Canis lupus familiaris: one gene and its partners. The protein of the gene in region 1 purifies or fractionates together with the protein of each later gene. This does not show direct contact. Links are inferred from orthologs where the notes say so. Each region holds a gene or a part of one and is shown in the gene's direction. Other genes may lie near its edges. The genes, in order: RHOA, PKN3, C4H1orf198, DAAM1, ARHGEF1, GLB1 and MAP3K1.

The links.
Region 2: the proteins of RHOA (region 1) and PKN3 purify together in Homo sapiens (affinity purification with mass spectrometry; 3 studies listed by BioGRID and IntAct, counting the BioPlex papers as one, with this or other methods). This does not show direct contact. The link is inferred for Canis lupus familiaris from reciprocal best matches to the Homo sapiens genes RHOA and PKN3.
Region 3: the proteins of RHOA (region 1) and C4H1orf198 purify together in Homo sapiens (co-immunoprecipitation; 3 studies listed by BioGRID and IntAct, with this or other methods). This does not show direct contact. The link is inferred for Canis lupus familiaris from reciprocal best matches to the Homo sapiens genes RHOA and C1orf198.
Region 4: the proteins of RHOA (region 1) and DAAM1 purify together in Homo sapiens (co-immunoprecipitation; 6 studies listed by BioGRID and IntAct, counting the BioPlex papers as one, with this or other methods). This does not show direct contact. The link is inferred for Canis lupus familiaris from reciprocal best matches to the Homo sapiens genes RHOA and DAAM1.
Region 5: the proteins of RHOA (region 1) and ARHGEF1 purify together in Homo sapiens (affinity purification with mass spectrometry; 3 studies listed by BioGRID and IntAct, counting the BioPlex papers as one, with this or other methods). This does not show direct contact. The link is inferred for Canis lupus familiaris from reciprocal best matches to the Homo sapiens genes RHOA and ARHGEF1.
Region 6: the proteins of RHOA (region 1) and GLB1 purify together in Homo sapiens (co-immunoprecipitation; 3 studies listed by BioGRID and IntAct, counting the BioPlex papers as one, with this or other methods). This does not show direct contact. The link is inferred for Canis lupus familiaris from reciprocal best matches to the Homo sapiens genes RHOA and GLB1.
Region 7: the proteins of RHOA (region 1) and MAP3K1 purify together in Homo sapiens (affinity purification with western blotting; 4 studies listed by BioGRID). This does not show direct contact. The link is inferred for Canis lupus familiaris from reciprocal best matches to the Homo sapiens genes RHOA and MAP3K1.

What each region holds. Positions count from the first base shown.
Region 1 is NC_049241.1:40,290,228-40,294,882, forward strand, and holds the end of RHOA (transforming protein RhoA), read left to right. Parts: intron 1-2,490; coding exon 2,491-2,621; intron 2,622-3,663; coding exon 3,664-3,837; 3' UTR 3,838-4,040; downstream 4,041-4,655. UniProt on the Homo sapiens protein: Small GTPase which cycles between an active GTP-bound and an inactive GDP-bound state.
Region 2 is NC_049230.1:54,975,532-54,980,168, reverse strand, and holds the start of PKN3 (serine/threonine-protein kinase N3), read left to right. Parts: upstream 1-1,802; 5' UTR 1,803-2,145; coding exon 2,146-2,160; intron 2,161-3,302; coding exon 3,303-3,543; intron 3,544-3,755; coding exon 3,756-3,901; intron 3,902-4,371; coding exon 4,372-4,483; intron 4,484-4,574; coding exon 4,575-4,637.
Region 3 is NC_049225.1:8,910,525-8,915,216, forward strand, and holds the start of C4H1orf198 (uncharacterized protein C1orf198 homolog), read left to right. Parts: upstream 1-1,738; 5' UTR 1,739-1,769; coding exon 1,770-2,111; intron 2,112-4,692.
Region 4 is NC_049229.1:34,879,214-34,883,151, forward strand, and holds part of DAAM1 (disheveled-associated activator of morphogenesis 1), read left to right. Parts: intron 1-1,291; coding exon 1,292-1,386; intron 1,387-3,658; coding exon 3,659-3,938. UniProt on the Homo sapiens protein: Binds to disheveled (Dvl) and Rho, and mediates Wnt-induced Dvl-Rho complex formation. May play a role as a scaffolding protein to recruit Rho-GDP and Rho-GEF, thereby enhancing Rho-GTP formation. Can direct nucleation and elongation of new actin filaments.
Region 5 is NC_049222.1:113,143,267-113,147,204, reverse strand, and holds part of ARHGEF1 (rho guanine nucleotide exchange factor 1), read left to right. Parts: intron 1-2,026; exon of another isoform or gene 2,027-2,165; 5' UTR 2,166-2,178; coding exon 2,179-2,208; intron 2,209-2,299; coding exon 2,300-2,383; intron 2,384-2,840; coding exon 2,841-2,954; intron 2,955-3,938. UniProt on the Homo sapiens protein: Seems to play a role in the regulation of RhoA GTPase by guanine nucleotide-binding alpha-12 (GNA12) and alpha-13 (GNA13) subunits. Acts as a GTPase-activating protein (GAP) for GNA12 and GNA13, and as guanine nucleotide exchange factor (GEF) for RhoA GTPase.
Region 6 is NC_049244.1:3,990,020-3,993,957, forward strand, and holds part of GLB1 (beta-galactosidase precursor), read left to right. Parts: intron 1-448; coding exon 449-580; intron 581-767; exon of another isoform or gene 768-886; intron 887-1,725; coding exon 1,726-1,980; intron 1,981-3,938.
Region 7 is NC_049223.1:43,173,028-43,176,555, forward strand, and holds part of MAP3K1 (mitogen-activated protein kinase kinase kinase 1), read left to right. Parts: intron 1-168; coding exon 169-300; intron 301-1,161; coding exon 1,162-1,304; intron 1,305-2,032; coding exon 2,033-2,164; intron 2,165-2,568; exon of another isoform or gene 2,569-2,676; intron 2,677-2,921; exon of another isoform or gene 2,922-3,006; intron 3,007-3,380; coding exon 3,381-3,528. UniProt on the Homo sapiens protein: Component of a protein kinase signal transduction cascade. Activates the ERK and JNK kinase pathways by phosphorylation of MAP2K1 and MAP2K4. May phosphorylate the MAPK8/JNK1 kinase.

The sequences.
Region 1 (4,655 bases):
TTTATTTTAGAGAGAGAGTTTGAGCGAGTCAGGGAAAGAGCAGAGGGGGAAGGAATGAGAATCTGAAGCTGACTCTGTGCTCAGCACAGAGCCTGACATGGGACTCAGTCTCACGATTGTGAGATCATGACCTGAGCCAAAACCAAGAGTTGGACTCTTAACAAACTGAGCCACCCAGTCTCCCCACTTACTTACTTACTTACTTATTTATTTATTTATTTGCACATGCAAGAGAGAAGATGAGGAGGAGGGGGAGAGGGACAAACAGACTTCTCACTGAGCAGGGAGCCTGACTCAAGGCTCTATCCCAGGACCCTGAAATCATGATCTGAGCTGAAGTCAGATGCTTAACCAACCAAGCTACCCAGGTGCTGACAAGATTTTATTTGTTGACCCCTGATCTAGATGATAAGGATTCCTTCTCCTGGTTTTCTGGAATTCCCAAAGGCCATCATACAACCCCACAGTAAATCCATGCAAGGTGCTATGCCCCAATGTGATCAGATTATTTTAGGGGTAGGAGAGATTATAGGTGATTGACATCACTGAATTTAAGAATAAAGTTTTGGGGCAACTGGCTGGCTCAGTCAGTAAAGCATGATACTCTTGCTCACACTGGGCATGAAGCCTACTTTAAAAAAAAAAAAAAAAAAATGGAGGGGATCCCTGGGTGGCTCAGCGGTTTGGCGCCTGCCTTTGGCCCAGGGCACAATCCTGGAGTCTCGGAATCAAGTCCCACGTCGGGCTCCCAGCATGGAGCCTGCTTCTCCCTCTGCCTCTCTCTCTCTATGTCTATCATAAACAAATAAAATCTTTAAAAAAAAATTATTCATGAAAGGAGGAGGCAACACAGAGGCAATTCATTTTAATTTTTGTGTCCTACACTCCCAAGGGATGGGGGACTATTGGGAGTAATAATTTCATATATTCAAATAATTATTGAGCGCCTATTTATGGAAGAAACTTCTAGATTGAGACAGAAGAGCAAATACAACAGTAAGTCCAAGAAACATAACAGTAGACCTGATAGCAAGAAATTTTACAGATAACATTCTCAGAAGTGGTTATGGGATGGGCCATGGTAGTATTCTGTTTCAGAGGATGACCATATAGGATGGTCAGCAACCTTGCTGAAAAGGTGACTTTTGGGAGAGACCTAAAGGAACTGAGAGAGGCCAAAACAGATACCCAACAAAAAAACCTTTCCAGGTAGGGAGAACAGCAGATGCAAAGTCACCAAGACAGGAAGAAGAAGGAATCTCAGTGTTGTAGCAGATCCCTGCCCAGGGATCCCTCTTTCCATATTCTAAGCAGTTCTTGCCTTTTGTTTTTTTTGTCTTGAAGTCAGAGAATAAACAGTTTACTTCTAAACTACAGCCTCAAATTACAAGCAGACTTTTTTTTTTTTTTAATTCATTCATGAGAGACAACGAGAAAGAGGCAGAGACACAGGCAGAGAGAGAAGCAGGCTCCTTGCAGGGAGCCTAATGTGGGACTGGATCCCGGGACCCCAGGATCACACCCAGCGTTCAACCGCTGAGCCACCCAGGTGTCCCAACAAGAAGACCATTTAAATGATTGTCATAGGGATACCTGGGTGGCGCAGCGGTTTAGCGCCTGCCTTTGGCCCAGGGCGCGATCCTAGAGACCCAGGATCGAATCCCACGTCGGGCTCCAGGTGCATGGAGCCTGCTTCTCCCTCTGCCTGTGTCTCTGCCTCTCTCTCTCTGTGTGTGACTATCATAAATAAATTTAAAAAAAAATTTTTTAAATAAATGATTGTCATATTAAGTACTTTGTATGCATTGATTCAAAATAGCCCTGTGTAAGGTAGGTAATACTGTTAACCTCATTTTGTAAAATCATGCCTGACACTGAGATGCCCAAGCCGTGGTTGTGGGAGGTTGAACCTGGCTACTTACACAACATGATTGATGTACATCCAACCTTTCTAAATTAGTACCATATTGGCAAGAAGTGTTTATCACTCATTTTTTAGAAGTCAGTCGAGCTGTTTGAAATACCGGTAACCTACACGATGGAGGTCATGTTAAAGGTCCATAAGCAAGGTGTAGAGAGAACATGGGGACCCTGGGCCAGCTGCAGCCCTAGAATGGAGACCCTTTCTGTAAGATATGCTCATAGTTACTAGCCAGCAGTGATGGAAATTGTCCATGAATACCTTCCCTCCTTGGGTCAGGTTGCATCATGTGGAGCCACCTTGTATTCTGGATCCTTTGTTCCTCCACAGCTTTAACTGGGCCCCACTTCACAGGAGCTGAGCTCCTTAGTGGGGACTGAGGAGAAGCTGGTGATTTTGTGCTTAATGGCAGGGGGTTAGATTTTGCCTTTTTTCTGTCGTTTTGAAACTAGTGATATTCTATCAAATGTCCAGCATACTTTAAAGTAGTTACCTTGCAGTTTAACTAGGGCTCTTGGACATTCTTCAAGATCAGAATTGTATGTAACAACAAATTTTGCTTCTTTCAGAAAACATCCCAGAAAAATGGACCCCAGAAGTCAAGCACTTCTGTCCCAACGTGCCCATCATCCTGGTTGGGAACAAGAAGGATCTTCGGAATGATGAGCACACAAGGCGGGAGCTAGCCAAGATGAAGCAGGCATGGTCTGGGGCAGGGTTCTGTTTTCCTGTAGCATTCTTAGACTCAGGGCCCAAAATTGGATGTTGAGGGGGCCCAGCAGAAACTCTCACAAGCCAGGTTATTTATTTATTTTTTAATATTTTATTTATTCATGAGAGAGACAGAGACCGAGAGAGGTAGAGACACAGGCAGAGGGAGAAGCAGGCTCCATGCAGGGAGCCTGATGTAGGACTCAATCCTGGGTCTCCAGGATCATGCCCTGGGCTGAAGACGGCGCTAAACCGCTGAGCCACCCGGGCTGCCCAAGCCAGGTTATTTAAAGAGTCCCAGAAGCCTCTCTTTCTCCATTTGTCCCTCATTCCCTGATGCCTGTTCAGAGCGTCCTTAAGATTCCCTACTTATCTGAGATGGGAACCTCTCCTGTGAGATAGCACTATGCCTCCAAGGATTGCCTGGCTGAGACAGCAGTAGTCAGTGCTCCAAATGCCCAAACTTTATCAGGCTCTGGATTTCCCTCTCCAGTTGTTACCCTGCTATAATGTGAGGCCAAGGATTAAATTGGTAGCAACCAAAGGATCAGGAAAGCTTGAGGACAAGGAGTCTAGAGAGAGCCCTGATGCCTTTATAAGTGATGATGAGGGCTTCCCCAGTGCAGGACAAGAGCCTTAATTAAGATATTCAGCCCAGGTTCTTCCACTGAAGTTTCTCTGTTTAAATGTCAAGGTCAGGATTTATTTCCTTCCATAGGCATTCAGTCCTCTCTGAAGCCAACAATTGGAAGACCCAAGTGCTTACTCTGGATTGACAGCTTGAATCATTTGCTCTTGATTTCCTCCTTAACCCGGCAGGGCTTCTCTGGCCTCTCCCTTCTGTCTACTTCTCAGAGAAGAGCCTGTTTGATAGGGATTTTATATTGGGGTAGGGAGGGTAAACTGCATATGAGTTTCATAAGACTCATCTGGGTCTGGCAGCTTTTAAAAGAAGTTTTTTAAGCTGAATTTTGAGTACTTTACACTTCATATATGTGACACTTAACTGAAAGTGCTTTTCTCTTTGCTAGGAGCCGGTGAAACCGGAAGAAGGCAGAGATATGGCAAACAGGATTGGTGCTTTTGGGTACATGGAGTGTTCAGCAAAGACCAAAGATGGAGTGAGGGAGGTTTTTGAAATGGCCACGAGAGCTGCTCTGCAAGCCAGACGTGGGAAGAAAAAATCTGGGTGCCTTGTCTTGTGAAACCCTGCTGCAAGCACAGCCCTCATGCGGTTAATTTTGAAGTGCTGTTTATTAATCTTAGTGTATGATTACTGGCCTTTTTCATTTATCTATAATTTACCTAAGATTACAAATCAAAAGTCATCTTGCTACCAGTATTTAGAAGCCAACCATGATTATTAATGATGTCCAACCCACCTGACCACCGAGGTCCTCCTGACACCGCTCTAACAGCCCTCCTCTGCACTCCCACCTGACACACCAGGCGCTAATTCAAGGAATTTCTTAACTTCTTGCTTCTTTCTAGAAAGAGAAACAGTTGGTAACTTTTGTGAATTAGGCTGTAACTACTTTATAACTAACATGTCCTGCCTGTCATCTGTCAGCTGCAAGGTACTCTGGTGAGTCCCTACTTCAGAGCTTTACTCCTTAACAGATTGTATTGGCATAGCTCTGTGATGGTCATCCAGTTTTTTGAAAATGTGCTTATCCAGAAAGGCTCAAGTCCATGCAGCTGTGGCAGAGTTACAGTTCTGTGGTTTCATGTTAGTTACCTTATAGTTACTGTGTAATTAGTGCCACTTAATGTATGTTACCAAAAAATAAATCTATCTACCCCAGACTAGATGTAGTATTTTTTGTATAATTGGATTTCCTAATACTGATATTTGTCATCCCTGCAGAAAGTGTATTGGTTTTTTTAAAAAAGAAAGTGTATTTGAAAATAAAGTCAGATGGAAAATTCATTTTTAAAATTCCCGTTTTGTCAGTTTCTCTGATAAAAGATGGCCTGTTTCTCCTGTTTTCAACGCCACATATCCCAGTACCCTTCCCCAGAG
Region 2 (4,637 bases), on another chromosome or scaffold:
ATCACCTTTTCCACTCTGGGGAGGGAGGGTGGTCAGAGCAAAGTGCAACTGACATGATTTCCTTCAGTAAAAGTACAGGAAGGCACCTGTTCCGAGTCATCAAATCGGCCACCTTCCATGTTTGATCCCCACTCACCTCCAGACCCTTGGGCCAGGCTCCTTCCAGTGAAGTCCTGGCACAGGGTGCCAGTTAGCACAGGATACCAGAATTCCTATACAGGCAAGCCGCTGCCAGGTCAGTTGGTGCCCACTGGTCGGCTTTCCTGAAATAGTGGTTCTTTCCTACGGTGTGTGTCTTCTGTTTGGGTGGATTCTTGAGGACAAGGGAAGCCCTGGCCGACCCAGAAAGCTCCACTGTGGTTGAGTGGCGGAGCCTGAGATGTTTGGTTTATTCATCCATGGTTTGTAATTTGGGAGGGTTTGGGGGAGGCTTTACTTTCTTTCAGTTGCAGACGTTCTTATAGTAGTGACTCTAGACAGGGACAAGACTCCGTGAGGGTGACGGGTTTGGGATTAACCCACTTGTCACCAAGGATCTAAGACGAGGAGAAGGCTGCGGGCGGGAACCAGGTGGTGGCACGGCTCGGAGGAAGGGGCTGAGCCGGCCCCACGGGCAGTGTCCGGCGGCCGGCAGGCGGCGCTGTCGCCCCCGACCCCTCTGGGCAGCTGGCGAACCCCGGCCCGGGAGGTGTCCCTCCCCGCACTTCTATCCCGGGCCGGGGACTGCGGCCTCAGGACGGACGCGGGGCCCCGGAGCCAGCGGGGCGTCGGCTGGAGCCCTGGGGTCCCGGGCGCAGACCCTGGCGGCCGACAGGCGGCGCTCATCTCGGGGCCCGCGAGCGCCAGCCGGCCTCGGGAGGGGGCGCCCGATCCCGCGGCTCGGGCTCCGCTTCCCGGGAAGTTTCAAGTTTGAAAGTCCTGGCGGAGGGGCCGGGGCTTCCGGAACCGCAGTGGGCGAGAGGAGGGGCCGAGCGGCCGGAGCGGCGCCATGGAGGAGGGGGCGCCGCGGCAGGTGGACGGCGCCCGCGGAGGCCGGGCTGCGGGCGCGGGCCCAGGGCGCCGGGGAGCCTCGTGCACGCCGCGGGCACCCCGAGCCCCGGCCGCGACCCCCAGGTCCGACCCGCATCCCCTCCCGGGTCCCTTCTCAGTCCCGGCCCCGGGCTTCGCTGCACCTCGCAGGGCAGACCTGAGCACGGGGGTGAGTCGTTCATGTCCCCTGAAAACGCCCCCAGATCACCCCCTAGGGACTCAGAGCCTCTGGTCAGGCCAGCAGTCAGGGCCACCAGCATGGGCGCCAAAGTTGCCTAAAATCAGCTCTTCCCGGTAGGACTGGAAGGCCGATGGGAATCGACCTAGAAAGCAAAGGGGGGCGCTGGGGCGCACTGGGGCCGGTCCTGCGTGGAGAGGAATCCGAGTGTGCAGGGAGAAGAGAGCCCAGGAGGGCACCAGTCCCTGGGCTCTTGGGGGGGTGGTCCTACCCGGATCACGAAGGCATGTGGGGTTTGGCCGGGCCGGAGGGCCTTGCCCAGCACCTGGGTGGGAACCTTCGGGTACACAGGGTTCTAGTCCAAATGGCAGGGAGGCTGGGATCCTGCCAGTGCTGGCAGTAGGTGCTGGTGGACACAGCAGCCAAAGCCGTGTGTTTGTTATTGGGGAGGGAGGGGTGGAGGTCTACTCAGAGCGAATGGGGTGGGGTCCCAGCTGTAGAGCAGCAAGGGAGAGGTGTGTATGTCCGCCCAGAGCAGACAGGAGGTGGGGGTATGCTCAAGGGTGGAGTGTCCTCCACAAGGCTCGAGTGCCCCCACCCCAAGGGCCTAGACAGCCCTAAGCACTGCATCTGCCCCCTCCCACTCCCTTCTTCCGGAGGTCCCTCCGCCTGTTCCAGCAGCAGCTTGTGCACATTTTCCGATTTCCTGTGAACCTCCGCCCAGCAGCGCAGCTGGGTGACTCAGGACCCCGGTGGCCAGGCCCCCTGCTCCATGGGATCTTTGTTTGCTCAGGCCTTTGGCTCTGGCCCTCTGGCCTAGGGCCCTCAAAGGATTTCCTGAGCCCCGCCCCTGCCCTCTGACTACCAGGCCAGCAGAGGCCTGGAGTAGGGGGGGGCCCTGAGACTGGGGTGACAACCTTTAACACTGGGCTCAGGAGATGGAGAGCCGAGAGGTAAGGTGGAAGTCCCGCAGGAGCCCTTGGGGTCGGGGGCATTGTGGGTTACTCTGGACAGAGGTCAGCTTTGGCACTGGTTGGTTTGAAATGTTAGCTTCTGAGAAAGAGATTTTTCTGTTTCTTGCTCCCACCTGGGGTGAAATAGTGAGAAAGCCTCTGCTTCCTCCCAGTAGCTGAGCTGGGAATGGCCCCGGGAGACCTCCTCAGCCCCTCTCCGTGTCTCTGCTTGGCTACCTGAGGGAACATCCCTGGCCCCTACTCAGGCCTCTGGCTGCCCTCTCTGTGTGACCTTGGGGGGTTCCCTAGCCTCTTTTCTGGCCTCAAATTTGGCCCCAAATCTCAGAATCGCAGTCTTGGAGAGAGCATCCTGATTAAGCGTGACTGGCAAGGGGGAAGGAAGGTGGCATCCCCTCTTCGGTGTTGTGACTTTGGGCACGTTGCTTAACCTCTCTGTGTCTCAGCTTCCCCATTTGTAAAATGGGGATCATAACTATACCAACCTCATGGGATTGTCGTGAGGATCCACAGACCAGTGTCTGCAAAGTTCTGAGACAGACCCTGAACAACCCAGGGGTCTGGGGCACTGACACACCCCACCTGCCATGAGTTGCAAATCTGCGTATGACTTTTGACTCCCCCAGACCTTAACTACCAGTAGCCTACCGGTGACCAAAAGCCTTACCGATAACATCAACAGTGGACTAACACATACTCTGTACGTTATGTGTATTCTATACTGTGTTCTTACAATAAAAGAAGCTAGAAAAAAGGGAAATGTTATTAAGAACATCATAAGGAAGAGAAAATACATTTACAGCCCTGTACTGTATGATCAAAAACAATTTGCTTATAAGGTGGACCTGTGCAGTTCAAACCCATGTTGTTCAAGAGTTGCCTGTAAATGTTGACAATTTCTCCCTCTCCCTCCTCCCTAGTGGCAGAGGACAGGAGCGTGGGCAGGATGCCTAGTCTTGGGGTTTGCATCTGGCCTGGGGATACTAGCTGGAAAGTCAGAGATGCCTCCCAAGCCCCGGGTGTCCACCCTGGCTGCTGGGCGTGCCTCCCTCTCCTTCCATCTGTGGGCACCTGAGGCCGCTGGTGGCTGGGGACGGGACCATTATTGCTCTGCCCTTCCACAGCCTGGGGCCAACCAGCGGCCCCCGGAGGATGAGAAAGAGGCGATCCGCCGTGCCATCCAGAAGGAGCTGAAAATCAAGGAGGGTGTAGAGAACCTGCGGAGGGTAGCCACAGACCGCCGCCACCTGGGCCATGTGCAGCAGCTCCTGCGCTCCTCCAATCGCCGCCTGGAGCAGCTTCACGGAGAGCTGAGGGCGCTGCATGCACGCATCCTGCTGCCCGGCCCTGGGCCTGGCCAGGCTGGTGAGTGTGGAGTCTGAGCGGACCCTCGGGCCCTCGGGGACAGGAGGTGCTGGGGAGGTCTACCCAGCCAGCTTCTCAACCTTGGTCCTGACCAATCTCATAGCCTTCTCAGGTGTCCCCCTGCCCAGGAGGGGAGGGGAGGAGACAGCAAGGCCATAGAGTAGGGGGCTCCTGGCTCTGGGTAAGGGCTTCATGTACCCCACACTGCACAGAACCTGTGGCCCCGGGACCCCAGCCACCTGCAGAGCAGCCCAGGGCTCGGCACCTGGAGGCTCTCCAGAGACAGCTGCAGGTGGAACTGAAGGTGAAGCAGGGGGCAGAGAATATGACGCATACATATGCCAACGGCACGCCCAAGGTAAGGCTCCCGGGGTCTGTGGGGAGAGATGTGGCTCTCGGATTAGTAGGGGAGGTGCTGCCCCAGCCCCTGTAGGGAATGCAACCTAGCCAACGACCTATTAAGGGAGACATTGTCTCAACTATTAGTCTGATAGAGGAGCCATAGCCCCAAATCTTAGCTTGGTGGGGAAGGCATGGCTTGGACCCCTAATTTAACAGAGAAGGCACAACTCAGTCTAATGGGGAAACCCCAGGCCCTGTTCTGGGTCTAATAGGGAAGGTCCACTCCCAGCCCCAACTCCCAGCATGATGTGGGGAGCTTGGCTCTGACATGATTGGAGAAGTTTGACCCCAGCCCTGTCTCATCTGATGGAGGAGGCTCTGCCCCAGACCTAGGCTGATGAGGGAGGCTTGGCTTCAGCCTTGGTCTGACCAGGGAGGCCCTGGGCTGGCCTGGGTGCGACGAGGGCATACCTCATGACCCCACAGGAGAGGAAGCTCCTGGCAGCTGCCCAGCAGATGCTGCGGGACAGCCAGCTGAAGGTGGCTCTACTGCGAATGAAGATCAGCAGCCTGGAAGCCAGTGGGTCCCCTGAACCAGGTGAGGCTTTGAGAAGCTGGGAGGGGCCGGCCGGCCGGGCCGGGCCGGGCAGAGCAGGGCATGGGCCTCAGAGCTGACTGCCTCCTCCCAGGTCCCGAGCTGCTGGCAGAGGAGCTAAGACATCGGCTGCATATTGAGGCTGCTGTGGCCGAGG
Region 3 (4,692 bases), on another chromosome or scaffold:
TGTAACATTCATTTATTTATTCACGATTCAATCTACAAAGAGTCACTGAGCACTTACTTTGAAAGGCATTCTCGTTCCCAGCAGTAAACAAGACAGGTAAGGTACTGTGCATTCAGGTTAGTGTACCGAGCATATACATAAGCATCGATTTAAATAGAGAATAATAATATCAAACTCTTCTCAACCTGGTGGCTTCATAAATTGTCCTTCATACTATGCAACCCAGGCTATTATCTGGTGGCTTTTCCCACTGCTTCAATATATTATGCTGATAACATTATCGAGAGCAGTATCTTTTCTTGTAGATCTTGCCACATTCATGGCATCCCCAAAATATTTTCTTAGGATTTCTGGGCCAGAATATGAAAGGCTATCTCACACGTAAAACAAGTTATTTCTAGGACTGTGTTCCGAATTGTCTGTTACTTTAGAGGCAAAGACCCTAAGTAAAAGCTGAAATGCAAACGTTTTGTTCTAAGAGTGGACATTCTCATCTGAGACCTGTTACAGTGTTGTTCAAAACAGCCTGATAGGAAAGCAAATGAAGGGCTTTGTCCCCACTTTTGTGGTCTGGGACACAGCTCAAGGTGACGAACCTGGCCCCACTATTGTTGGGGTGTGGTTTCTCTGCCTACCAGAACTTTCAGCCCCCCTTGAGTTTGTTTGCAAATAACGAGCTGCTGAGAGTTCTTGTGATTTTTGAGATTCCAAAGCAAATCCTGTCACTTTGTTGGTCTGGGAGGAAGCGCAAGACCACGCGGCGGCTTGGGGAGCCCGCCCCGGTGTGCCCCAGCCCGCCCCGCGGCCCCGCGACTTCATCTCATTCCTCCGTCTCCCCGGGAGGAGCGGGAACGAATCCTCCTCGGACGCGGCCGGCGCTGGCCCAGCTCGTCCCCCGGCCCCGGCTGCCCGGTGCCCAGCCCTCGTCTGTCGCTCGGCGCGCCCCGGCCCCGCCCCGCCCCGCCCCGGCCCGGCCCGGCTGCGCTCCACGAAGGCGGAGGAGACGGGCCATCAGGGAGCGCGGCGGCGGCGGGCGGCGGGCGGCCCGGGCCCGGAACCGGCTGTCCTAGGCGAACCGCACCGACCAAAGTTTCCTTTGTCCCACAAGGGACCACGTGGCTCTACGGTCCCCAGCAGCGACCCCGTCAGACCGCCGGGAGCCGACCCGGGGCGCGGCCGCCCCCCGGGCCGCCCGAGGGGAGCCCTGGAGACCGGGCGGGGCGGGAAAGCCCCAGGGCGCCGAGCACGCGAGAGAGGGGCGTGGCGGCGAGTCTCCGGGGGGGGCAGGCCCGGGAGGGGGCGGGGCCCCGGGAGGGGCGGGGCGGGCCTGGGGGCGGGGCTCCGGGAGGGGCGGGGCTCCCGGGAGGGGTTCCGGGGGCGGGGCTCCGGGAGGGGGCGGGCCCGGGGACGGGGCTCCAGGAGGGGCGGGGCTCCGGGAGGGGGCGGGCCCGGGGACGGGGCTCCGGGGGAGGGGCTCCAGGAGGGGCGGGCCCGGGAGGGGCGGGGCTCCGGGGGAGGGGCTCCAGGAGGGCGCGGTACCCGGGGTGAGGGCCGCGGGGCTCCCGGGGGTGCCGGCGCGAAGGGCGAGCCCCGGGGCCGTGGGGCGCGGGGTTCCCGGGACTAGCGGGCGCGGGGGCGGGGCTGGGGGCGGGAGGGCGCCGCGCCCCGGGGGCGGGGCGGGGGCGGGGGCGGGGCTCCGGGCTGCGGGGGCGGCGCGGGGAGGGGCGCGGCGCGGGGAGGGGCGCGGGGGGAGCGGCGGGCGGCCGGGCATGGCGTCGATGGCGGCGGCTATCGCGGCCTCGCGCTCGGCGGTCATGAGCGGGAACCGGCCTCTGGACGACCGGGAGCGGAAGCGCTTCACCTACTTCTCGTCGCTGAGCCCCATGGCCAGGAAGATCATGCAGGACAAGGAGAAGATCCGCGAGAAGTACGGGCCCGAGTGGGCGCGGCTGCCGCCCGCGCAGCAAGACGAGATCATCGACCGGTGCCTGGTGGGGCCGGGCGCCCCCGCGCCGCGCGGCCCCGGGGACCCGGGGGACTCCGAGGAGCTGGCGCGCTTCCCCGGCCTGCGCGGGCCCACGGGCCAGAAGGTGGTGCGCTTCGGGGACGAGGTGGGTGCGGGCGCGGCCGGGGGCTCTGGGCTCCCCGCGCCCCCAGCGGCCCGGCCGGTGCCCCCGCCCGAGCGCCGCCGCCGCCGCCGCCGCCGCCGCCGCCGCCGCCGCCGCCCGCGGGGTGGGGGCTGCGGAGGGGAAGGCGCGGGATGGAAGTGGCTGGCGGGGGAGGTGCGTCCCGGGGCCGCCGGCGCGGGGCGCGGGGGGGGGCTCCCCGGACGGAGGGGAGAGTCGCGGCGCGGAGGTCTGTCAAGAGCCGGCCCCACAGCGCTCCGCGGGGCCGCGCCGGGCCAGGCAGTTCCCCCGCAGCCGAAGGCGAGGCGGGCCCCGGGAACTGCAAGGGATTTTAAGCCAGCCAAGCCGGAGTTCCAATCCACTCTGCTCCTTAGCTCTATGGCCATCGGTGACTTTTTTTTTCTTAAAGATTTTGTTTATTTATTCATGAGAGAGAGAGAGAGAGAGGCAGACACAGGCAGAGGGAGAAGCAGGCTCCCCGCGGGGAGCTGATGCGGGACTCGATCCCGGACCCCGGGGGTCACGCCCCGAGCCCAAGGCAGACGCTCCACCGTGACTTAACCTCAGCTTCTCTCCCCGCCCCTCCCCCGTCCTGGTGTAAACTGGCCCCCTGCCTGTCAGGGAAGGCAGTCAGGAAATTACATATGTTAATCATAGTATTTGTGATGAGTTGTATGGGGCGAGTGAAGTTGTCAAGCAAGGTAAAGAGAAGGGAGAGGTGCCTTCCCGGGTTAGGAGGCCAAACGTAAGAGGTTTTCCAGGTGAGCACGATGTGATGTGCTCACCTGGTGTGGAGGTGAGCATGGAGACCTGTTGTTCTATCAAAACACGAAGGGGTGAGCTTAAATGGGCGCCACCAAGCCTTTGCCACATATAAGGACATCCCTGGGTCTCTGGTCTAGACGCCGAGCCCACACTTCTAGAGGAGAGAAAAGCTAGAGCTATACAAGAAAAAACTCTGGGATGCCCTCTTCTAAGTCACAAAGGACTGAGTGTTCACTGCTGCTCAGAAACTTGATCTTTTTCTTTCTGTTTTTTTGTTTCCCTAAAACCCATTTGGTGCCATTAGAATCTGGCCTTTCACGCTAAACTTTTACCATGAAGGGCAACCTGGAAAGGAGCAAGAAGTATAAAAATGAAGTAGACCCATGAAACCCACACTCTGAAGGCTGGGAGCCTGCAGGAGGGGAGCTGGAGCTTGGCGATGTTTCCCCAGGGCGTTGTGGATTGTGAAAGGGATTCTAGTTAATTCTGAATTTTAAAGCTAATTTTCAGGCTTGGGTGTGTTGAGACATTTATCAATACAAAATGTTTGTGGTCGTAAACCCACTTAAATATAATGGGTGTGTGAAGGAGAGAAGTATGCTGCCAGCATTGCCTTATTCTGACAGAACTCAAAGAAAAGTCTCCACTCCATTGGACTTGAAACTCTGAAGGCTTTGCCAGGAAAAACAAGGGTGTGGTAAGCCGGAGGGATGAAAATATAGGTTCAGAATGTATTTAAGAGCCCAAACATTTTCAGTGTGAAAAATCCATATCTGTATAAAGACATTTGCAGTGTTTGTGCTCAGATTTGGGGATGAAAAAGCAAGCGGCCCCTCTTTGGAAAAGTCATGAGTAAATAAATAGGAGAGGAAGTAAACCTGTAAGTACTTACAGATGTTGGAGAGTGACTGTCATTTTTCCTTAGCTTGTGTCCAGCTAAGAATATCCACATGCCTGCTCAGCATCAAAAAGCTCTTGCCATATAAGGGCTCAGTATCACTGATAAGGAAAGATGTGGCCAAGTGAATTTTGTACTCAAATTCCGTAACTGGGTGCCAGACTGAGCTGTTTCTGAATTTGTAAACCCAGTGTGATTTAAAAGCAAATGGAACTCCTCACTGTGGTAACGGCATGCCCTTCCAGGAGCCAACCCTCCTGTTTTTTGGACTCCAACTCAGTTTTACAAAACGCCCGAGAGGGTGCCCTGGAATGCCTCTGACCAACTTGAGCAGAGATGGTGGACAGCTACGGGGCGGCTGAATTTCAGGAGAGGTACTTAGGAACGTTGCCTGGGGTCTGTTTTTGCTTACAGTGGCCGTGTGCATTAATGGCGCTAGGGAGGGTTTTTTTGTTTTGTTTTTTAAAGATTTTATTTATTCATGAGAGACACACAGAGAGAAGCAGAGACATAGGCAGGGGGAAAAGCAGGCTATCTGCGGATAGCCTGATGCAGGACTCGATCCCAGGACCTCGGGATCTCCACCTGAGCCAAAGGCAGATGCTCAACCACTGAGCCACCCAGGTGCCCCAGCACTAGGGAGTTTAAAACGCATTTCCCCAAACCTGGCAAGAGGTTGACACCAGCATAGTTGGTTGTGTCATGCCCAGCGCTGTTCATGGAGGATGGCTGGCTCCTGGACACAGGAGGCGATGGATAAGGGGAGGACTGGTCTACCCGGCTACGCTGCTGGACAAAGAGGCCCAGATAGGTGACTCAGGTTTGTCCAAAAGGGCCCTAAACCAGATTGAGTAGGGCACCCTATCCCTTTCCACTTGATCTGGCTCCTGATGTCCCAGGTCC
Region 4 (3,938 bases), on another chromosome or scaffold:
TTGAAAAACGAGACTTCACTGATTTTTATTTCTGTTGCCTTAAATGATACTGATATATTTCTTTGGAGCTTTAACCCTCCTAATTGTGAAGTCAAATTTAGGTTTTAGTTAACATTTAGTTAATACTGGTACTATTAACTTGAAAAAATTAGATAAAATCACCCTTTGATGACTTGTGGCCCTGAAAGGAAGTGAGAGATTGGATCATTGAGACACATAGATAAGAGCCAAACTTTCTTTTTCCCCTTCAATGCCCTAGTCTGTTTCCCAGCCATGCATTTTTATCAGAATTGTTAACAGGTAAGAAGGCTGAAATTAGAAAAGCACACATTCAGAATAAGATGAAGGCAAGAGACCAGTGGTTCCATGGGTGGAGGCACCTGAGGCCATTAAGACTTAAGGATCCTTTTAATCCAACTAGGTGATCTTGGGCTCAAAGGAATGGGAAAGATCTTTTCACAAATATAAACTTTACTAGCATCCAGGACTGTACTGTCAACTGAGATCTACTTCCTTAGAGCCTTGTTCTTCAAATTGAGGTCTATAGACCTGCAGCATCAGGGCTGCATGGAAACTAGAAATGCAGCATCTTGGGCTTTACTCAGGACCTACCAAATCAGAACTCTTATTTTAACAAGATCCCCAGCTTATTCGTGTCCATATTAAAGTTTGGGAAGTGCTGCTCAACAGATCCCTGGGTGGGGAGGGTGTAAGCACCCCACTCCCTCCCTCACACACACTCTGTAGCCTAATTTCCAAATGATGTTGAATCATTTCTAAAAGTGTTTACTCTGAAGGAATTGTCCTTCTTCGTATCATGTCCGATTTGATTGTTCCTCTTAAGTAATTGATGGAACAAAAAGTGTAAAAGATTCTACTTTTCGGCTTGAGGATGACACAAACCGCCTGGATTTGATAGTGTTGTTAATGTTATTAGCTTTAGTTGCCAGAATACTGTATTTAACTGCAGAGCCAATCCTCTTTCTATCAAATATAGATAGTAATATTTTCACCAGAACTATAGTTGGACAAGTTAATCTCTACTGAAAATTTCTAAACATTTCTTAAAACTTTATCTAAAATTTGAAAGAACTTTTAGTAGAGATTACAAATCTGGAATTCTTAGTACTTTTGCTCTGTATTTTGGTTTTATAGTAATCCTAGTCATAGATTTATTGTTTTTTTTATATATATTAAAAGTAATAATAGCATGTAATCTGTGGACTTGTCTTGCTTATACCCTAATTGAATCATAGAATTTGAAGAGGTAACTTCAGTTTTCTTTGCGTAGAGAAAATCTCTCCTGGCTTTAGAGAAGGAAGAGGAAGAAGAGAGAAGTAAAACTATAGAGAGTTTGAAGACAGCACTAAGGACAAAACCAATGAGGTAATTCTTTCTTGGGTAACATACTACTTGTCTTTTTTTCCTTCTTCTTCTGTCCTTTCTTTCTCCCTTCTCTCTTACCCTACTTTCTTCTTTTTTTCTGCAATAGGAATTCTTAGATTAAAAGCATTCAACTGAACCATGGATGGAATACTTTTAATCATTGAACATTCAATAAATTGATTTTCTTCAATTAAAAGATATGCACACAGCTGTTAAGATGGCTAAAATTAAAAAAAAAAACAGACTAGAAAGTTTTGGTGCTGATGTAGAGAAATTGCAACCCTCATACATTGCTGGAAATAATGTAAAGTGGTGCAGCCACTTCAGGAAACAGTTGGACAGTTTCCTTAGAATGTTGAACATAATGTTGGCATATCACCTGACAATTCTACTCATTGGTATATAGCCAAGGTAACAGGAATGTTCATGTTAACAGTGTCCATAATGGCTGAAAAGTAGAAACAACCCAAATTCTGTCAGCTGATGAAGGGATCAACAGAATGTGATATATCCATACAATGAATTATTATTCAGCCCTAAAAAGGAATAGACTGTTGATAAATGCTGCAACATGGAAGAGCCTGAAAAATACTTATGCAAAGTGAAAGAAGCCAGATTTTAATGTTTAAAGAAAGACAACATATGGCATGATTCCATTTATATGAAATATCCAGAGAAGGCCACTCTGTACAGACAGAAAGATTAGTGGTTGCTTATGGTTGGGGAGAGGAGGGAAATAGTCTTTTGGGATGTTTTAGAGTGTTCTGAAATCAGATGCTGTCCGTGGTTGCCCAGCTCTGTGGATATCACTGAAATGTACATTTGAAAGTATGAATTTCATGGCATGTGAATTATATCTCAATAAAACTGTTCCTAAAAAAGGGGGGGGTGCAGTCAGCCTCCACCATGTGTCTCCTATACCTTCATTTCCCATTGATTAGTCTTCAAGGTTTGGTGGGATGTTGGGGTGCTTATACGTATATTTCATTAACATAGGAGCTATGAATGAAGCCAACTGTTTCCACCAGTGGGGCTATATCTGGGTCCTGTGACTACATGAAATGGCTGGAAAATAAAGATTTCCTTTTCTTTATTTGACTATAAGATGCTAACTAAGAAAAATCTATTGATTTATCAAAATTTCTATGCAGTTGTATGACAGGTTTTGTAGCCAATCCTAACTACATCAGTATTTCCCTATTTGTGTTGTTTTGCATTCTCAGATGTTGATAGGTATCTAAGACTAAGTAGGTTTGGAAATTTCTGGAATAGTCATATAAACAAGTTCTGTTACTTCTGAAATTTTCAGAGCTTCACGTATATTTGTGCATTGTGAATTATTCTCATTGGTCAGCTTCACAGTAAATAAAGTGTCCTAGATATCAATTAACGTGCAGTAACAAAGGCTTGCTTTTGTTTTGTTTTAGCAGTTTATTATTTAGTTTTTTAAGTACACTTCAGGCCCATCATGAGGCTTAAAATCAAGAGTCATGTTCTCTATGGACTAATCCAGCCAGGCACCCTTTATTTGTTTTATATATAGGGATTCCAGTAGCATATCATACAAAAGAAGAGTTTTGCTACAAAATGTTAGCAATATAGATTATCATTTGTTTGACAGACAAATATCCTGGAGCTTAAGGATGCTCTTTGACTTGCATTGATATGGGTCAACAGTTAATGTAAAGGTGATTAGAGGCTGGTGTTAAAATGACACAGGATCAGCAGATAACCTTTTTTTTTTTTTTTAATTTAAAGATTTTATTTTTTGAGAGAGAGCATGAGCAGGAGGGAAGTCGTTGGGAGAGGCAGAGGGAGAAGGAGAAGCAGACTCCCCACTGAGCAGAGAGCCTGACATAGAGTTGGATACCAGGACCCAGAGATGATGACCTGAACTGAAGGCAGATGCTTAAGTGACTGAGCTACCCAGGTGCCCCTGAATCAGCAGATGACTTTAACTTAAGACACATATTCTGAGTGTGTTCTGGTTCCTGATTTACTGTGGCTGTATAATTGTTCATTGGTTCTTTGTATCAGTTGAGATCTGTTTATTTCAAATAGAGATTATTTCACATTTCTGGTAGACCTGACCATTGGGTTTGTGCTGAGGAAGAGGTCAGGAATTAAGAAGACTTCATCAATGTAGCTCTTTGGTACTACAAGAACTACATACCTCTTCCTTTCTCCTGCCATTGCAAAACTTTTCCAAGGGCTATTAGAAAATTCCAAAGGGACCTAAGTCTGATACATTTTAATGTTCTTCTCCTGCCAGGTTTGTAACCAGATTCATCGACTTGGATGGCCTGTCATGTATTCTCAACTTTCTAAAGACCATGGACTACGAGACCTCAGAGTCTCGAATACATACCTCTCTCATTGGATGTATAAAGGCACTAATGAACAACTCTCAAGGTCGGGCTCATGTCCTGGCTCACTCTGAGAGTATTAATGTGATTGCTCAGAGTCTGAGCACAGAGAACATTAAAACAAAGGTGGCCGTGCTGGAAATCTTGGGCGCCGTGTGCCTGGTTCCCGGGGGCCACAAGAAGGTT
Region 5 (3,938 bases), on another chromosome or scaffold:
TCCAGCCAAGAAGTTGCAGCTGGTAGCCTGGTAAAGGTTTTCCACCTCGAAAGGGATTACGAGAATACTAATTGCATGGGTGCTTCTGGTTGTGAGCTTTAAGTGAGTTCATATGTGAGAAGCACTGGGGGCAATGCCTAGCACAATGTGCTAGTTAAGTTTAGCTTTTATAATAAATAATCACTTTGCTATTTTTTTTTTGTGTGTTGGTTTGCAAGTTTATTCACGTGAAGATTTAACAGTGCTCAAATCTTAAATTACCCACACTCAAAGTTGGACAGATACACTGTATGGAAGAGAATAAAAATGTGGTGTGCTCTGGGGAACCCGTGGGATGACACTTGGACACTCCAGAAAGCATCATTGTTTCATGATCGTAATCAAAATTGTAGCCACCATTTATTGAGTGTTAGGGAGGAGGCCTCTGGAGGAGGCAGGAGGGTGAGTCTCCAGTGACCAGGGTTATAAATAGCTTTGGACTGTGGGGGAGCTCCCCCACCCCACTCGTCCACCCCACCCCAACTCCACAGCTCCTTCCCGCCTGACACGGGCTCGAGTGGCATTAGTCAGACTAATTAAGGATACAGAAGATGGTGGTGGGAAGATGCAGGGGGAAGCAGAGACTCTAAGGGAGACAAAATGGGAAAACCAGCAAGAGATGGGAGAGCGAGAGAGATGAGAGACAGCACGTGACACAGTGACTCACAAGGACTCAGAGAGGTGGCCGCAGAACCAGATGTGGGAAGAAGACAGGCAGAGACACCGGCTGAGGGGAAAGATACTTACAGAAGCAGGGTTAGGGCGAGGTGGCTAAGGGGGAGGGGAAGCAGAGATGGTGGGAAAGTGAGACTGGTCTGAAGGGAGGGAGAGGGGGGAGACGGAGAAGAGAGGCAAAGACCTGAAGCATATTCAAGGGACGGCCAGCCAGAGAGCTGGCGGGACAGATGGATACAGGGTGAGGGGGGCAGACACACCTGGGGCTGAGCTAGCTGAGGACTGTCCCTTGCTTTCTGGGATTGGAAGGTGGGGAAGATACCAGGTCCCCGAGGTAACTTAGGGTCTGGGGAAAGGAGGTTCAGATTTTTGTTTTCTTATGTGGAGAAGGTTGGGGGTTGGGGGATTTGCCATTAGATTTCCTGTCACAGGAAGTGGGGCTGGTGGGTTCAGAGGCAACATCCGGCCCCAGGCCTGTCAGGTTAAGGAGAGCCCCCCCACACCCCACTTATCTCCTTTCTACCTTTCCTTTAACCTTCCCATCTCTATTAGCCTCCAGGCCCTGCCTCCCTAGGATCAATCCTACAGTGCCCTCCTCCCTCAGACCCAGGAGTTCAGGCCCCAGCCCCTCCTCCCTCAGACCCAGGGATCCAGGCCCCCAGCCCCCTCCTCCCTCAGACCCAGGGGTCCAGGCCCCCCAGCCCCCTCCTCCCTCAGACCCAGGGATCCAGGCCCCCAGCCCCCTCCTCCCTCAGACCCAGGGGTCCAGGCCCCCCAGCCCCCTCCTCCCTCAGACCCAGGGATCCAGGCCCCCAGCCCCCTCCTCCCTCAGACCCAGGGGTCCAGGCCCCCCAGCCCCCTCCTCCCTCAGACCCAGGGGTCTAGGCCCTCAGCCCCCTCCTCCCTCAGACCCAGGGGTCCAGGCCCCCCAGCCCCCTCTTCCCTTAGACCCAGGGATCCAGGCCCTCAGCCCCCTCCTCCCTCAGACCCAGGGGTCCAGGCCCCCCAGCCCCCTCCTCCCTTAGACCCAGGGATCCAGGCCCTCAGCCCCCTCCTCCCTCAGACCCAGGGGTCTAGGCCCCAGCCCCCTCCTTCTTCAGACCCCCAGTCCAGGACCCCTCCCTCCGCCTTCCTCAGAACCAGGGGTCCAGGCCCCCAGTCCTTCCTCTATTAGGGACCTCAAATTATAGGCTCTCCTGGCCAGAGCTCTCTTATGGACCCAGGCTCCTGGGCCTCCCCCCCCCCCAGGGCTCCCTGTCCTTGGGCTCCCCCGCCCTGACTGGCCTCTGAAGGGCTCTTTGTCGCCACACAGAGGCCCCATTGAGCTGCAGAGGCTGGGATTGGCGGGGAGGCTGTTTACTCACCTTCACACCTGGGCCAGGAATCTGTGAGTAACCTCCCTGTGCCGCAGCCTCCTGCCCCCCCTAACCATCGCCCCTCCTCTTCCCCAGCCCTGTGGAGCCCATGGAAGCAGACAACGTTGCCCGAGGGCTGGTGAGTGGAGAGAGCCTGGGAGGGGGAGGGGACTGGGGGGCTGCGAGGTGGGTTTGCACCCCGAGCTGAAGCCATCTCACCTCTTCCACAGGCACCAGGACCACCGCGGCCTGGCCTGGTGCCAGTCAGCATCATTGGGGCTGAGGACGAGGATTTTGAGAATGAGCTGGAGACGGTGAGGGGGAGATGGGGTGGAAAAGCTTCTGTCCCAGTCTCCCTCGTCCCAGCCCTCAAGTCCCACCCTCAGTGTCCCCTCCCTCCTTAGGTCCATGTTGGATGCTGCCTCCTGCCTCCTCTTACTTCCCCATTCCTCTTTCTGTTATCTGGATACCACCATCCTCATCCCCTACTACTTCATCCTCGATGCCCCATTATGACACAGACTCCCACCCTTGGGTACTCTAACCTCGGTTTTTATCACCACCCTCCTTAATTACAGCACAGATCCCTCCTCTGTCTCCTAATGCCTGTCCTCATCACCCACCATTACCACATTAAATCTCATCCACCTTCCCTAACACCAGCCCTGGCCACCACCATGACCGCATAGACACCTCTGCCAGAAAGGGGAAGGGTCGACCCCCATGTCCGTCCTCTGCTCCCCACTCTCTCATCCCCATCTCCACCCTCAGAACACAGAGGAGCAAAACAGCCAGTTCCAGAGCCTGGAGCAGGTGAAGCGGCGGCCTGCCCACCTCATGGCCCTCTTGCAGCACGTCGCCCTGCAGTTTGAACCAGGACCTCTGGTGAGGGCAGGGCTGGGTGGGCAGAGGGAGGGGTTGGGTTGGGTCAGGTCAGGCCACAGTACTCAGCGACATAGACAATTGAAGACAAGGGAGGGTCCAGAATCAGATCCAGAACACACAGCGCAAGATCTAGAAATGGAGAGCCAGAATGCTAGCCATGTGGCCTCTGACAAGATTGCAGGTTCCCCGCGTACATCTCAGTGAGCAGGGAGTGCAGACGGGAGAGTCCACACGGCAGGGTCAGGCAGAGAGCAACAGAGAATCCAGAAGCTGGCAGAGAACATGCCCCCCACCCCCCTTCCCTGCCTGTGACTGGGTCACCTGTCAATGACAGCGCCTTCTCCCACTGGTCCCGGAAGTGGAATCTCCTCTGTGGCCTCAGCAGCCGCCACCAGTCATTAATTCAGAGCCAGTGCGTGGGAGGAAGCCACTAGCCTTCCCAGGTCTAGGTAGCACGGCAGGCCCTGGCCCAGAAACAAGAAACGCCTGCAAGCAGCCCACAAGGCAGAGCGAACATAACTCATGACCCACAGATAGCAGGCAGAAATTACCTGGGCCACGGCGGGTGCAGGACCGTGCTGTCCGGAAGCACCTGCAGAGTCTAGGGAGCCCAGCAGGTGACTTAGGAAGGAAGAGGCCGCTGCGCGGGCTGGAGTGGGGTGCTCAGTGGACAAGGAGCTCATCCGAAGAAGAACCCAAGAACACCCTACAACTGGTGCATAGCCCAGAGCACTGGCCTGGCACGTAGCCCAGGGATGGCGCTTCCTGCCGTGTCCTCTGCCAGATGTGGCAACAGGCCTGACAAGGGTCAGGGGCTTGGCCGAGGTGACCCCGATGGCCCCCAGCTTTGGAATCTCTCCTGTGGCCCCCTCACCTCATCAGCTAGGAAACCGTTCGCCTCTCGTGGAGTTTTGTCGTGGAGTCTGGGGCTGTGCCGAGGTTTGTTCTAAGTGTTTACAGCAGAGAATTAGAGTCCTGCCCCCA
Region 6 (3,938 bases), on another chromosome or scaffold:
TGAGACTACTCCACCTAACTCTCTGATTTTATCTCATCTATCTGATTTTGTCTCATTTCTCCACGTTGCTTAGAAGCCACCTTTTATGACTGCCTTTTGTGCTGTAAGAATACAAAGCAGGTCCTGTGATAGGAATCGAATCCCTTCCTTGAATTTTCTCCATTCCTTTCCTATTAAAAATGGATGTGCAGCAAAACATCCCAAAGCAGAGGAAGCCAGCCTAGATCTTCCCTTGTTCTGAGCCGTAGCTGGTGAGTCGCCTGCTTAGGAAGCAGTGTTTAGAGGAACTTGATCACCTGGCTGGTGATTTGGGCAAAGGGGCTTTCAGAGCATTGCCTCTGGAGTCCAGTGACACTTCAAGACAGCAAAATGAGTGTGACAGCTGAGGGAGCTGGGTTCTGCTGCATTTCTCACACCAGTTAATTCCCACTGGTCTCTAACCCCACAGGTGCCCCAGGGAGTCATGGAGCGAAGTAATGTCATCACTCTGAACATAACCGGGAAGGCTGGAGCCACTCTGGACCTGCTGGTGGAGAACATGGGACGTGTGAACTATGGCAGATATATCAATGATTTTAAGGTAGGACCAGCCCCACTGTCAGGAGTGAGGTTCAAAGGTTGATGGGGCCGTGCCTGTGCCACCTAAGGAAGTTTCTGCAAACCCATTTAAAAACTCTCATATATACATTCTTCTCCTCCAGCCCTGTTCACATAGAAGCGATTTTTAAAAGCATGCACACTTTGCCAAGTTTGGCGGGTAAACCTACTGTGATTTGTTTTGCAACTTCAAAGTTGGGCTATTTTGAAGACCTGTTTTCCTCTGCAGGTGATGAGAAAGTTGTGCTTTGCAAAGAGAACCCTTCTCTTGTGTTCAGGTTCAGTCACCCTGTAGAAAGAAACAGAAGGAGGAAGCTACTGCACCCTGCTTCTCCCTTGCTTTAAAGACCCACCTAGCTTTCAAAAGGTACCCTGTTGCTGACAAAGCCAGCTTAGTATTTGATTGGCTCTGTTTTCTGGATGTGGACAATCCAGGACGAAGTCTTGAATAATAGGCTTTTCGCTTGGTACACGGTCTCTCTTACCCCTTCTGGTTACCCTGTGTCCAGGTGTCTAGCCCCAGCCCAAATGTTTGCCTGAGGAAAACATTTTTAGAGCATTATTCAGCAAATGTTTGGTAAGGTCATACTCTGCAAGATGCTCTGCAAGGCACTTTGAGGCATGGAAAGATGTTGAGGTACAGGCTTCTCCCATGTAGCTCACCACCTAGAGGAGAGAAGGCCCCCACATGGAAAGATTGATGGTACCCCCCTCTCTAGGACAAAACCCATGTGTGGGGTTATTTCCTGACCCTCTTGGTGCCACTCAGAGGCAGGGCAATCACACTCCAATGGAATGGCCATGCTCCTGGTTATATGAAGGGGCAGAGTCTGTCCCCCCAGCCCTTCCTACAGTGGCTAAATGTTCTTCTGTATTCCTGAATCCACTCATTCCTTCCATCCAGCAATGACTCTGAACCGAACACTGAAGATTGGGGGCATGGGGTCAAAAGCTCTGGCCTCAGGCTCAAAAATGAGACTCAAATTGTACACACACAATTTGAGTCTCATTTACTCTTGGTGTTTCATGTCCTGGTTTGCTCTTCTCAAGAATTCAGCGTAGGGACACAAAGACACTTGAAGCCTTTTACTTCCCACCCTAGCTCATTGCTCAGTTTCTCCTTTACAGGGCCTTATTTCTAACCTGACCCTTGGGTCCAGTATCCTCACAAACTGGATGATCTTCCCGTTGAACACTGAGGATGCAGTACGCAGCCACCTGGGAGGCTGGCATGGCCCTAACAATGGCCGCCATGATAAAACCTTTGCCCACCGCTCGTCTAACTACACGCTCCCGGCCTTTTATATGGGGAACTTCTCTATTCCCAGTGGGATCCCAGACTTGCCCCAGGACACCTTTATCCAGTTTCCTGGATGGACCAAGGTACGTGTCTTCATGGAAAGTGTTTTAATTCAGGCCTCAAACATCTGCTTTTAGCTTCTGATAAAGAATAAAAAAGAACTGCTAATGAGATGTTGTGTAACAGTTTGGGAGTGGGGGCTTTCTGTGTTAGTTTACCCATTCCTCAGTAGTGGAACCATGGCAGATCTTCAGGAATGCAATGGCCAGCTTGAATGTATAGCATCTGCCCCATTTTCACTGACTGACAACTTCCTTGAGAAAATGATGACTTTCCTCCTTCCTTTAAGAAAAACCATAGCTCCTTTGGACACTGATTATGAGGGACACTTTCTCTTTATCTTGAAGAAAATTTGGTCCAAGCAAAGGGATGAATCACTGGGAGAACTTATTTTTCTTTTGTCCATGCCTCCCCCTACACTCCACAACACCCCACCTTCATACAGCCCTGCACCCTGGGGGCATCCACCACTGTCTCCATGATCTTCAGCTCTTCCTTGGCCATTTTACAGCCTGGTCACCTCCCTCCCTTTATTCTTTGAAGGTGTTCACATGTCTTCCTTCACCGTTGTCTTCTTCACTTCAGTCCTATTTTCATCCAGGGTGACCTTACCATGACTCAGTTATTCATTCAACAAGTATTTTTCAGTGGCCACTATGTACCCAAGCTTTGTGCTGGGTGCTAAGGATACAACGATGAACCAAACCAGCTATGGGACTTGCCCTCATGGAACTTACACACTAGTTGGGGAGACAGACCCATATCATACAATCACCCAAATTAAATGACAAGACTGCAGCTGCAATACGTGCTAAGAAGAAATACAGGAGTTGATAATAATTGGGGCATTTGACCTTGTCAGGGAGATCAGGGAAGCCTTCCCTGTGAGAGTCATGCTTGACAAAGATATGAAGGATAAGAAAGAATTAACAAAAAAAAAAGGAATTAACATGGCAAAAGGGGAAGGGAAACATGTTCCAAGCAAAGAAGATAGCATGTGCAAAGGCCATGTGGTTAGAGGGGGAATGAGGAGCATGAGGAACTGGTAAAGGACCCAAACATAGGGTTTAGGTGTGGAGTGTGGTTCAGAGAAGAGACTAGAAAGTTGGTAGAGATGAGATTGGACTAGGCCAATTAAACTACATTAAAGTTTTGTCTTTGTGTTGAGAGCCTTTGAAGCGGGAGAGTGCCATGATGTGATTGTGATGGGACAAGCTTCTCTGATACCAGGGTGCAGAATAGGGTTGGGTGAGAGTACCTGTGGATTTTGGGAAGCTATCTAGGCAGCTGGACCATAGTCTCAGTGTGAGACTAGGATGGTGGTAGACAAGATGGAGATAATATCAACTATCTAAGAGATGTGTGAAGTTAAATCAGTGAGTTGTAATGATGGATTGGATATCAGGATTTAAAGAGAAGGACATATCCTGGATGACTCTTACATTCCAGCTTGGTGGCTGAGAAGATGGTACCATTTATTGAAAGAAGAAATGTCAGAAAAAGACATGTGCTAGGAGGGGGGAGATTGTGAGTTGGATTTGGATAGATTGAGTTTGAGAGGCCTTTGAGAATAGCTGAGAGAAGATATTGGAAGAGGGCTGTGATATCTGTGGAGGGAGAAGCCAGAGGATGGATCTGAGCTGGGAATATATGTATAAGATCATCTGTGTATGGATGGTCACTGAAGACATGGGTTGGAGGAGATCCTCTGAAGAGAAAGGATACAGAAAAAAAAGAAAAGGGGTACAAACATGGTGGGCAGAGAGTGAGAAGGAAAACCGACATTTGTACTGCTGAGGGGATGAATGTGAGAAAGACAGAAGCTCTTCTACTGGATTTCGTAACAAGGAGCTCACTGGGACCCTCAGGAAGTATATGCCAGTGGAGCAAAGCATCCATAGGCTGTACTATATACTCCCAAGGAGTATAAGGTAAAGAAACAAACTTGTGAACATAAATTTGAATACCTGAATATAAACAT
Region 7 (3,528 bases), on another chromosome or scaffold:
AATGTGTTAGTTTTTAAGTCCATTTCGCTTCTGATGCAGAGTATAAACTTAACATTTCAAATGTGAATGTCCGCTCTTATGGTGCAAGCTTATGTAACCAAATTGTAATAAGCGGTTTTAATTTTGGCTTAAGTTTATGATAATTAGTATTATATGTTTGTCTTCTAGGGGGATCTGTGGCTCATTTGCTCAGTAAATACGGGGCCTTCAAGGAATCAGTAGTTATTAACTATACTGAACAGTTACTTCGTGGCCTTTCCTATCTCCATGAAAACCAGATCATTCATAGAGATGTCAAAGGTAGGAATTCTTTTAATTACTACCTACTAACAATAAATAGAAAACAAATGAGAGTTTTACAACTTGGACCTTTATTGGCAGTTTCTAACTTAAGATCAACTCTATCGGATTGTTTTTCCTGAGTAACTCAAAATACTAGAATTATTAGAAGTGAAAGGAACCTTGGAGTCATGAAATCTGCCTTCCTCAGAGAGACTGATTTTTCCAGTCTCACTGCTAATTGATGGCAAACCAGTATAAAAATCAGGTTTCTGATTTCTTGGTCTCATGATCTACTACTGCCTCCCCAACCGTTCCTGTTTCTAGTTTTATTTAGAATAATTGGGGTATCATGAGCTTCTTTTGAGAAAAATCCTTTAAGATCTTTTGCAGTTTATCTTATTAAGAATAACTGGTTTTCTGACATGTATGTGTGACTAGTATTCAAATAATTTTATAACATTAACTTTTATGAGTTATAATTAAGGAATTATACTATTTTGAATTGGTCTAGGTGAGTATGTTTCAATAGAACTGTCTTAAAATGGAAACCACTAAAATTTTAACTTTGAGGGAAGATTTTTGTTGGGAACATTAAAGGTTTTCAACACTTAGTAACATTTCATTAAATGTCTGCCTTGATCTCCTTTTGCCTTGTTACTTTGATCTTTCCCTCTGAAGATTTGGATTTTATTTTTACATTGTTGATACCTGTGTGCCTTTTTAGGAAGAATGAAGTGAATCAAGAGGGGAGATTTCTCTGAACCCTTCCATGCCCACTTCCTTTGTTACTGTCCTATTTCATTAGTAGTATTTTACTGAGTTTTGAATCTATTCTTTTGCTTTTTAACATACAAGGTCATTTGCTCTTTTTGTTGACAGGTGCCAATTTGCTAATTGACAGCACAGGTCAGAGACTGAGAATTGCAGATTTTGGAGCTGCAGCCAGGTTGGCATCAAAAGGAACTGGTGCAGGAGAGTTTCAGGGACAGTTATTGGGAACAATTGCATTTATGGCACCTGAGGTAAGAAGCAGCTGTGAATGTGATGGCAAAGTAGCTGGCGTTCCATGTGACAGAATTATAGCAACTTAGGTTGCAGTGTTGTTCCGTATGCGCTTACCAATGAGAAGATTATGGCTCTAAAATAAGGTTTTAATGATATCCTTGATTTCAGACTCTTAATCCCTGACGTTCCATCTTTGTCTTGACAAAATTTTAAAAGAGCAGGCTTTAGTAGACTTGCTTATAAGACCGTTGCCAACAGAGAATTTTGGGGTAGTTGTACTACTTGTTTTATAGTATGCCCAAAGTACACATAATTAAAAATCTTAACAATTGCTCTCTCTCTATTCCAAAGGGAGATGAGCACACAGAAGCTAGTCTTCACAGTAGTGAAGAAATTTCACGTAGTATTGCTGTTCTGAATCAGGCTTCTTCAGTTGTGTTCCACACTCTTCATGTTTATACGTAGTGATAATTGGTTGTCCTCTGGCCCCACAGTGACTTAAGTACACAGGGGCTGCTTGGATATTCTGTGATCTGACTCCTTTTCAGAATCTCACAATTCTCCAAAGTACTTTTGTGCCACGTAGGAGATTAAGCTTGTTAATGAAATAAATGAGACATCAAGGTAGTCCATGGAGTTGCTGTCTGTACCATTGTTTTGGTCTGAAATAAAAACCTAGAATACATAACTACAGAATATTTTTCTCTTTTGTTAATGAGTCATATTTCTAAATTAACTATTTTAGGTACTGAGAGGTCAGCAGTATGGTAGGAGCTGTGATGTATGGAGTGTTGGCTGTGCTATTATAGAAATGGCTTGTGCTAAACCACCTTGGAATGCAGAAAAACACTCCAATCATCTTGCTTTGATATTTAAGGTAACTATAATATAAAAATTACTTTTTCTGCTGTAATTGGCAGGAGGCAGATTTTCATGGGTTCCCCTTAACTCTCAATCTAATGTCAAAGCATGTATCCTCCTTGAAATAAATATGCATATATGTATCTCTTGGAATTCATACGGTGTGATGAATGTTGGTGGCATGTACAGTCAGTCCTCATTTTTCAAGTAGTTAGGCTCTATAAAGTCACTTCGAACAATGAGTTAGCGAATAATGAATCATTGTTCTTAGGTGAAATATGTACTAAGTATATCCAACTTTCAAATGTAAAAATGTAGAGCTCTTTATGGACACAATCCACAAATCTTTAAAATCTGATTTACTATTTTCTGTATTTAAAAAATTTACACGAGTCAGGTACCAAATCCCGTCTGTCCTACCTTTCTGACAACTCTCAAATCCATTCTGTCCATTTCCAGTGGAGAAGAGTATAGTAGTTTAGATTTTTAGCTTCTGATCCAGACATGTGCCAGTTAAAAGCTCAGGCTCTGGAATGATACAGACCTGATTTCAAACCGTGGTTCCAGCCTTTAAACTTTAAAAAGCCATGTGACTCGGGAAATGACTCCGTCTGCCCTCTGTTTTCTTGGTTATAAAACATGTATAATTACAGCATCTACTTCATGGGATTAATATGGGAATAAAATCTCTGGGCCTGAGTAACTCGAAATCCAGTGCACCAGTACCTCAGTACCTCCCAGCACCTCCCCCAGTCCTTCCCACACTTCCATACCTTCCCCATTCAGTGCAGTTGAGTTTCTGATGTACTAAGCGGACTGGCCAGGTGTGGTCTCAGTAGCTTTGAATAGCTCTCTGTGCTGAATGACAGAACATGTATGATGAAGCAAGGATGACAAACCATCATACTGCAGAGTATGAGGAGAGCATATAGTATGAAGTGAATACTTTACCTGTCTAATCATTTTGATGTACTTAGTCATGTTCATTTGAGACAAGGAAAACCATAGATCCATCTGCTCAGGAAGTGTTTGATTAAATTCTGAAATCCTAAAATTTGAAGATTCTTAGAGGAAGCCTCCCATCCAGTGGGTGAGTTTTTCCAGAGACTCCCTGTCAGAAGCAAGTCCACCAATTTCAGCTTCAGTTCTTCTATGTACAGGATGCACGTGTACTTCTAGATCAGAAGCTCCTATTGTGGAAAGTTTAAACACACTGGTGGTTTTTCTTACAGATTGCAAGTGCGACGACTGCTCCATCAATCCCCTCACATTTGTCTCCTGGTTTACGAGATGTGGCTCTTCGGTGTTTAGAACTTCAACCTCAGGACAGACCCCCGTCAAGAGAGCTACTGAAGCATCCGGTCTTCCGTACTACATGGT